Linked DNA regions of Ovis aries. The protein of the gene in region 2 interacts with the protein of the main gene of each other region in a pairwise test. Links are inferred from orthologs where the notes say so. Each region holds a gene or a part of one and is shown on either strand. Other genes may lie near its edges. The genes, in order: MAU2 and NIPBL.

Region 1 (4,376 bases), on a different chromosome or scaffold from region 2:
AAATGGGCAAAATAGCTGGTAGTGGTTAAGAAGCACAAATCTCCAGTTATGAAACAAGCAACCCAATGGAGATGTAATGCACAGCATAAAGAATATGCTCCATGTAATACTGTAGTAACTGTATGAGGTCAGATGGTTCCTAAACTTATTATGGTGATCATTCCACAATGCATGCAAATGTCAAAGCTCTACATACTATCCCTGAAACTAACACAATACAGTAAGCCACCTACAAACGAAACCTTCAAGTTGCGACCTTCCAAAGATGTGATTGTGTGTTCCTGTGTCCACTCTCAGAAGCTAGCTCACCTGTCTGGCGTACTCTATCACGTGAGTACACCGTCTACAAGTGGTTGCGCTCCTGTGCACTTTACTGTACAGCAGTGTACAGAGTACAGTCTCTCTATTTCAAGCCCAGGATGCTCAGAAGCAAGTACAAAAGCAGGGGTGACGCCGGTGGCACTGCTGCCAGGCCCTGTACGCCAGCTGTTGTACTGCGCCACTCTACTTTTCAAAGTACTGTACTGTAAGATTAAAACTAGTTTTTGTGTGTGTCTGTTTATGTATTATTGTATAGTATTTGTACTATAAGCCTGTTAGTACAGTACTATAAGCCTGTTAGTACAGTACTATAAGCCTGTTAGTACAGTACTATACAGTCGATTGTGTTAATTGGGTGCCTAGGCTAACTTTGTTGGACTTAGAATAAACTGGACTTGTGAATGTGCTCTTAGAACGGAACTCATTTGTATGTAGGGGATTTATTGTATTGTTATGTCAACTACATTTCAACTGGGAATTCCTCAGTGCATTCACTGATTTGTGGCCCGGGTTCAATCCCCAGTTGGGAAACTAAGATCCTACAAGCTGCACAGCATGGCCAAACAAAATTTTTTAAAACCCCATAATATTTCAATTAAAAAAAGAAAAAAAATAATAACAGGCTGAATGGCCTGGAGACCAGACAAAGGAGGTGGCAAGATTTGTTGTTAACTGAGAGAAGGGACAGCTTTATAACTAGCATCCTATTGAAGGCCCTGGGCTGCCAGGCCTGGGCAGTCACAGCCTCCACCCTTCATACACCCAACAAAGCCTGACACTTCATTTGCTCTCGGCCTCTTTGCTGTCTAGGAGAAACCCTGATATCAACTAGTCATCGACAACTGGGGTACTTCAAGGGATTGACATGAAACCTGGAGCAGTTCTCAAGGCTTGCCTCCTCCACCTCATTCAGGCCTCTGTTCAAACGTCACTCCCACAAATAGAGACTCCCTGATTACCTTTGCCAAAAATAGCTCCCTGTCAACTCCAACCTTCACCCTGGTCCACATGTTTAATGGTTCTTCGATCACTGCCTAATCTTTTATGACATATTCATTGTTTGTCTCCCTCACAGAAACACAAGCTTATGCGGGCAGGGGGACTGTTTTATTATTCACTGCTGACCCGAGGCACCTAGAACAGGGCTTGGTACCCAGTGTGAGCTGATTAAATACCTGCTGAATGCACGGAAGAAACAAACTTCACAAAAATGACGACTTAATGTCGTGGCATCCACCCTGGTGGTCTTGAGCTTACCTGTGAGACCAGTTCTGTTAATAACTTGCTGTGTGGCTTTGGGCAAATCACTTCACCTCTCAGGGACCATACTGCCTCACTCCTTACGCAAGGAAGTGGCTCAAGCAAGGACAAAAGCCCCTTCCAACTCTACAGTCTGCAAAACACAGATCTGATTATCTGCCCCAAGGCAACTTGTTACTAGCCACAGGTGAATTCAGATTTACCTCGGATCAAGACATTTTTTACATGGTCGTTGATTCTACTCAAGAAGTCTCTCCTCTAAGCTGAATAAAGCTGAGTAAATGGCAAATGGAAACACTGTCAGGAGCACAGTATTGCCCTGAAAGGAACAACTCCACAGCCCCAGAGGGCAGAGGGACGGCCACTTTCTCACATTCTTCGGGGCACCAAGACCACAAGGCATCGTGGGAAGATGGGGCCTGCCCTCTGAAGGGGATGGACCAGCGGATGGTGGAGGAAGAGAAGTCACAGGTGGTTGTGGAGAAAGCAGGAGTCCTGAGCCCTGGAATCCAAACCCTGCAACCCTCAGCTCTGCCTTTTTCAAGACGTCAAACCGTCTCTAGAGTCTGCCTCCCGCCTATGACTCCCCTCATCACTGATGGGGGCACAGTATCTTCCGTCTGGAAGTCCTCAGACGTCCATGTCCTGGGCGAGACCTTCCTAGATTTCCTCGGAAGCCAAATTCCAGATTCTCAAAGGATGCCTGGACTGTTGTTACCTGGGGTTACCTGGACCCTCCCCTATCCCGAGTCCTAGGCCTCTGCTGTCACCGGAGATACCCAGTAAGGTACGAGGCGGGGCCCTCGGATCCCCAGAGAGGCTAACAGCTTTGGGGGTCTTGCTGCTCGTGCGGAAGTCACGCCCCAGTTTCCAGAGGAGCGGCCCGTCGGCGGCTCCCGCCCGCCAGGGTCGCGGCCCGTCAGCTCAAGCCCGGAAAGGAACCCGCGCCTCCTCCCTCGCGGCCCAGCCCACGCTCACCGCCTTCTCCAGGTGGCTGCGCGCCTGCTCGCTGTTCTTGGTGTGGTGGTAGAGCACCGAGCCGAGCTGCAGATGTGTTCGGGCCTCAATGCGCTGAGGCGGCTTGAAGGGGAACACGGCCTGCAAGCAGTGCACGCACAGGCGGATCTTGGGCGGGCTGGAAGTGCGGAAGTGCTCGGCAAAGCCCAAGAGCGCTAGGTACCACGACTCAGCCGCCTCGGCCTGCGCTGCTTGGGCCGCCGCAGCCTGAGCAGCCGCCGCAGCCTGAGCCGCCATTTTAGCCTGCACAACAACAAGCCGCCGCCACAGGGAGGCGGAAACAGGCGCGTGGGGCGGGCCCGGAGCTCCTCGCCTTTCTCGCGAGAGCTGCTGCACAAAGCATCCTGGAATATGTAGTTTGTGTTTGAAGTGGCTGCGGCTTCGGGAAGGTCTGAGAAAAGGCGACATTCTCTGGTCCGCGTAACTGAGACCAGAGATTGCCGATGGCCTGAGGTTTGCGTTCCTGGGGAGAAGACCCCAGATGTCCAAGTAATGGTAGGTCTTGGCTTGCCGGGACGGACTACATCTCCCATCATGCCACGCGCACTATAACAGGCCCCCCCCTCCTCCTCCGGTGGCGCCGGAGCATTGTGGGATTGGATGAGTCTCAAGATGGACAACCGGGATGTTGCAGGTAACAGCCCCCGCCTACCCTCAAGCGTCCGCCTGGGTCCTCAGGCTACGCGTCTTTGCTTCGCTATCCCGTCGGGCCTACCTCAACCCGTTGGCCCTTAGCCTCAGCCTCCGGGCGTCTGGAAGAGGCGGCTTTTGCACCACCCCAGTCTCCTGGGACCCCCACCGAGACCCAGTTATCCTCCCCGCCCCCACTGCTGGTTTGGTGAGGACGCCAGGCTTTCCTCAAAGGCCCCCACGGTTATCTGCCCGGCGCCTGCTTTCCGAGCTGACCGCCTTAAGGGCTGCTCCAAGCTCCGCTCCCCGAGCCAGCGGCAACCTTCGACTCTTCTGCGCCCCTCTCTTCTACTAAGCTCCTTCCTCGCCTCTATCCCACTTTCTGGAAAAGCTGCTTTTCCGAACTGCACTCTGATTCCCTGTACACATTTTCCTGGGTCTTTAGAGCCCCCCTTTTACCATAAACCTTGCCTCTCCCTCTCTCCCAGTTCTGGCGCCCCGAGACTGGGATGCATTCAACAAATGTGCTAGGCACAGTGTTAGTTGTCGAGGATACAGTGGTATCCAAAATGGGGTCGTGTCTTACTGAAGGTTACTTTCACCAAGGCATCATACAATGCACAAAGAGGAAATATTTACAGAGAGTTAGTTATAGTGACTTGAGAGAGCGGAAATGCAGGCTGCTGAGATTGAGTGGTCACGGAAGGCCTTTTTGAGCAGAAGACATTTGAGATGAGAAGGTGCCAGCTATTGGAAGGCAGAGCCTTCCATGGAGAGAGGGACAGCAAGTGTAAAGGCCTTGAGGGTTTGTTATTTTGAGGAATATCAGGGATGAACTGGAAGTGGGAAGGGGGTTCTCTCTGGCAGGGTCTTCAAAATCAGCTTTCAGAGTGTGGATTTTGAGCCCCACGGGGAACCTTCAAAGTGGCTTTTCTGTCTCCACAACTACCACCCTTGTCTGAAGACACCATCATCTTTTGTTTACAGCCAGTAAGCCTCCTGGTTGTCTCGTTACTCTGTCCAATCAGTAGCTGGAATGATCTTAAAAATAAAAGTACCAATTGGATCTTATCAGCTTAATAGTCTTATCAGCTTAATACTCCCCTGTGGCTTCTTAAAGCCCTTTAAGAAAAACTCAGACTCCCTGT
Region 2 (3,565 bases):
TTTTACAGTATCGTTGTGCCCAAAACTCAGCCTGGTCAAACTCATAAATTAGGGAGATTATTTTAATACCTAAGAGTTAGAATTACAGAGGTATCTGAACCCTTGCTACTTGAAGTGCAGACCAGAACCAGTAGCACCAGCCTCACCTGAGAGCTTGTTAGACGTGTAGAACCTTAGGCCCGCCCTAGACCTGCTGACACAGTGTTTGCATTGTTGATAAAATGCCTAGGTGTTTAATATGCACATTGAGGTTTAAGAGGTTAATCATTTCCCAGGAACTTGATCCATCGTGTTATCTTATTTTACTTCATTAACTGTTGTAAATATACTTGTTCATGTTTCTCCTGTTTTATTTCTTAACAGCTGTATTTTGAATATTGCTTTGTAATCTGATCTTTTCCACCTCTGGAAACCAGTTGGCTTTGTTTCTTTTAAAAAGCTAACGGTTTCATAAAGTACAAAGAAACAATTTAATTTTTTAAGAAAAACTGCATGTTATGTTGCTAAAAAGTTCTTAAATGGGAGAGTTTAAAAGAAGGTGGGGGAATTCAAGACCTATTATATTTTCCTATAATTAAATTATAATTACTTCTTTTCCTCTATAATGGCTTACCTATATACAAGATTGTTACTTCTATAATTTATCTTTCATTGCTATCGTATAAGAAAATTCTTTCCCTTGGAATGACATTCCAGAAGGGTTTAGGGAGAGTGGCACAGTAGTTGCAGTGGATTTTATTTAGTCTTGGAACATTATTTTCTCCCTAAGGGTTACATCCCCAGTTGTTCACAGAAAGAGAGTTTTGATATATGGAACATTAAATTGCGGGTGCGTTTGAACCTGTTGAAGGAAGCATATGTATAGTTGTTAGTGGTATTTTCATTTTATTATTTTTTAGACAGAATAATTTCCTCTTTTTTTCAGTCTATGGTAAAAGACAAAAGGAAAGAGAGAAAATCATCTCCTGGTAAGGAAAATGAGTCAAGCGAGAGTGAAGAAGAAGTCTCCAGGCCTCGAAAGTCACGGAAACGTGTAGATTCGGATTCAGATTCGGATTCAGAAGATGATATAAATTCGGTGATGAAATGTTTGCCAGAAAATTCAGCTCCTTTAATTGAGTTTGCAAATGTCTCCCAGGGTATTTTATTGCTTCTGATGTTAAAACAACATTTGAAGAATCTCTGTGGATTTTCTGATAGGTAAGATTATATAAGCAGTGAAAGAAAAACTTGCTGACTTCAAATAATGAAGAAATATGAAACTCAGTTTTGATTGCATGCTGAATATTAAAAATCCTTTTTTATAAAAAGGAGTTTGTTCCTTTTAACTGCTAATAGTGTTTTTGTTGTATAATATACCATAATTTGTGCATTCTGTTATTGAAGAGAGGAGAGCTATATTCTTCTAATTGAAGATAATGCATCATAAATTAAAAGACTTATTATGTTGGCTTCCCTAAAAAGATATTAGAGAATTAGGCTAACCTTAAAAATAGATGGCAGGGACTTCCCAGGTGGTCCAGTGGCTAAGACTCTGCACTCCCAATGCAGGAGGCCTGGGTTTGATCCTTTGTCAAGGAGCTAGATCCCACATGCCACAACCAAGACCCAGCACAGCAAAATAAATAAAATCAATACAAGTAAATATTAAAAAAATAAGATGGCAAATTCAAGTTTTTAAAGAGCTGTGAATGAAGAATAAATAGATGCAGACCAGCTAGGCTAAGTTCTAACAGGATCCAGTAGTCTTTAATGTACACTATCAAGGTAAGAGATAGAAAAGTACTAATAACTTTGCACTATAATTTTATTCGTCATCAATCACTACACTGCCTGTACCCATGGAATGTTGGACATTTTTCACATTCATTGAAACCTTATGACGTTAAATGTTCATAGGGACAGATAAATGAATAAAGTGCACCCAGGTAGGTCATTAGCACAATGAAAAGAACACATTTGGGGTTCAGATATTCATCAGCTTGTTGCCATGGGAGAAGGTGGGAACAGTGTGGCCAAAGCTTCCATTTCTTTCAAGGGCAACTAGAAAATCCAGATGTTAATGGAAAAACCTTGATGTTAAATACTAGCAGCTGTAGGACCTACTGTGTTATATTGCACTTCACAGATACTACATTTTATACAAATTGAAGGTTTGTGGCTATCTTGCTTCATGCAAGTCTGTTGGCTCCATTTTTCCAACAGCATTTGTTCCCTTTGTGTCTCTCACATTTTGTAGTTATTCAACAATATTTAAATGTTTTTCATTGTTTTTTTAATGATGGTCTTTGATCAGTCATCTTTGATGTTACCATTGCCAAAAGATTACAATTCACTGGAGACTCATGATACTTTTTAGCAATAAAGTATTTTTTAATTGTATATGTACGTTTTTCAACATAATGCTGTTGCCCACTTTAAGTAGACTACAGTATGCTGTAAATGTAACCTTTATATTCATTGGGAAACAAAAAATTGATGTGGTTCACTTTATTGCAATAATTGCTTTATTGCAATGGTCTGGAACCAAACCTGTAATGTCTCCAAGGTATGCCTGTAATTCAAAATAATTTAAAACCTTGTAAAATCTTGGAGCAGTGCTAAGGAGATGGAAAGATTTTGAAATAAAGTTGTTAATAATATGAAGCAGGTCTGTAAACAATCATTCTGGCCGTGTAGAGAATGAAAAATCTTAGAAGAAGAAGGTAAGCCACTTAGGTAGCACTGAGTGATTATATTAAACCTATGCTACAGTCACAGTCATGGTACTGGAAAACAGACATGAGAAACTACTTTCATTTAAAAGGTGCCTCGATTCAAGACAAGCACTGAGGAAAGCAAGAGAATAGCACTCTTTAATCTTTGATTTTGTGTCTTTACTTCCCTTTTAAAAATTATTGTGTATACAGTTTCACTGGTTAAAATCTGTATGACAGAAAGTTTAGTTATAAGTAAATAAAACTTAACTAGAATCCATTTAAATGTAAATGTCTGAAAAAATTTTTTACATTAATGGTTTTATTTTCCTAAAACAGTAAAATTCAGAAATATTCTCCATCTGAATCTGCAAAAGTGTACGATAAAGCGATAAACCGGAAAACAGGAGTTCATTTTCATCCCAAGCAAACACTGGACTTCCTGCGGAGTGATATGGCTAATTCCAAAATCACTGAAGATGTGAAGAGGAGTATAGTAAAACAGTACCTAGATGTGAGTAGTAAAACCAAAATATGTTTCATTTTGGTAATGACTTTTTAAAATGTGAATACTTTTGAGAGGGCTACTGTCTTTAGCCTTTTCTGTTCCTTTTCCTTCTGGCAACCAGTGTCACAACTTGTTCATGTTTTCTTACAGAAGCAGTACAAGTATATATATATATACACACACACACACACACACATACGTGTATATATATGTATGTAAATACCCATTTAACAAGTGTGTATGTGAGTGTATTAATTATGCTTTAAAAATGTCTTTAAGAATAGGCAAATGCAGGGAATTCCCGGGTGGTCCATTGGTTAGGACTCCACACCTTCACTGCTGAGGGCTCAGGGTTCAATTC

The links.
Region 1: the proteins of NIPBL (region 2) and MAU2 interact in binary tests that used the Homo sapiens proteins (3 or more experiments, as listed by UniProt). The link is inferred for Ovis aries from reciprocal best matches to the Homo sapiens genes NIPBL and MAU2.

What each region holds. Positions count from the first base shown.
Region 1 is NC_056058.1:3,776,921-3,781,296, forward strand, and holds the start of MAU2 (MAU2 chromatid cohesion factor homolog), read right to left. Parts: upstream 2,854-4,376; 5' UTR 2,836-2,853; coding exon 2,560-2,835; intron 1-2,559. Other genes in the region: SUGP1 (SURP and G-patch domain-containing protein 1), read left to right, coding at 3,199-3,232. UniProt on the Homo sapiens protein: Plays an important role in the loading of the cohesin complex on to DNA. Forms a heterodimeric complex (also known as cohesin loading complex) with NIPBL/SCC2 which mediates the loading of the cohesin complex onto chromatin.
Region 2 is NC_056069.1:37,326,591-37,330,155, reverse strand, and holds part of NIPBL (nipped-B-like protein), read left to right. Parts: intron 1-925; coding exon 926-1,200; intron 1,201-3,035; coding exon 3,036-3,210; intron 3,211-3,565. UniProt on the Homo sapiens protein: Plays an important role in the loading of the cohesin complex on to DNA. Forms a heterodimeric complex (also known as cohesin loading complex) with MAU2/SCC4 which mediates the loading of the cohesin complex onto chromatin.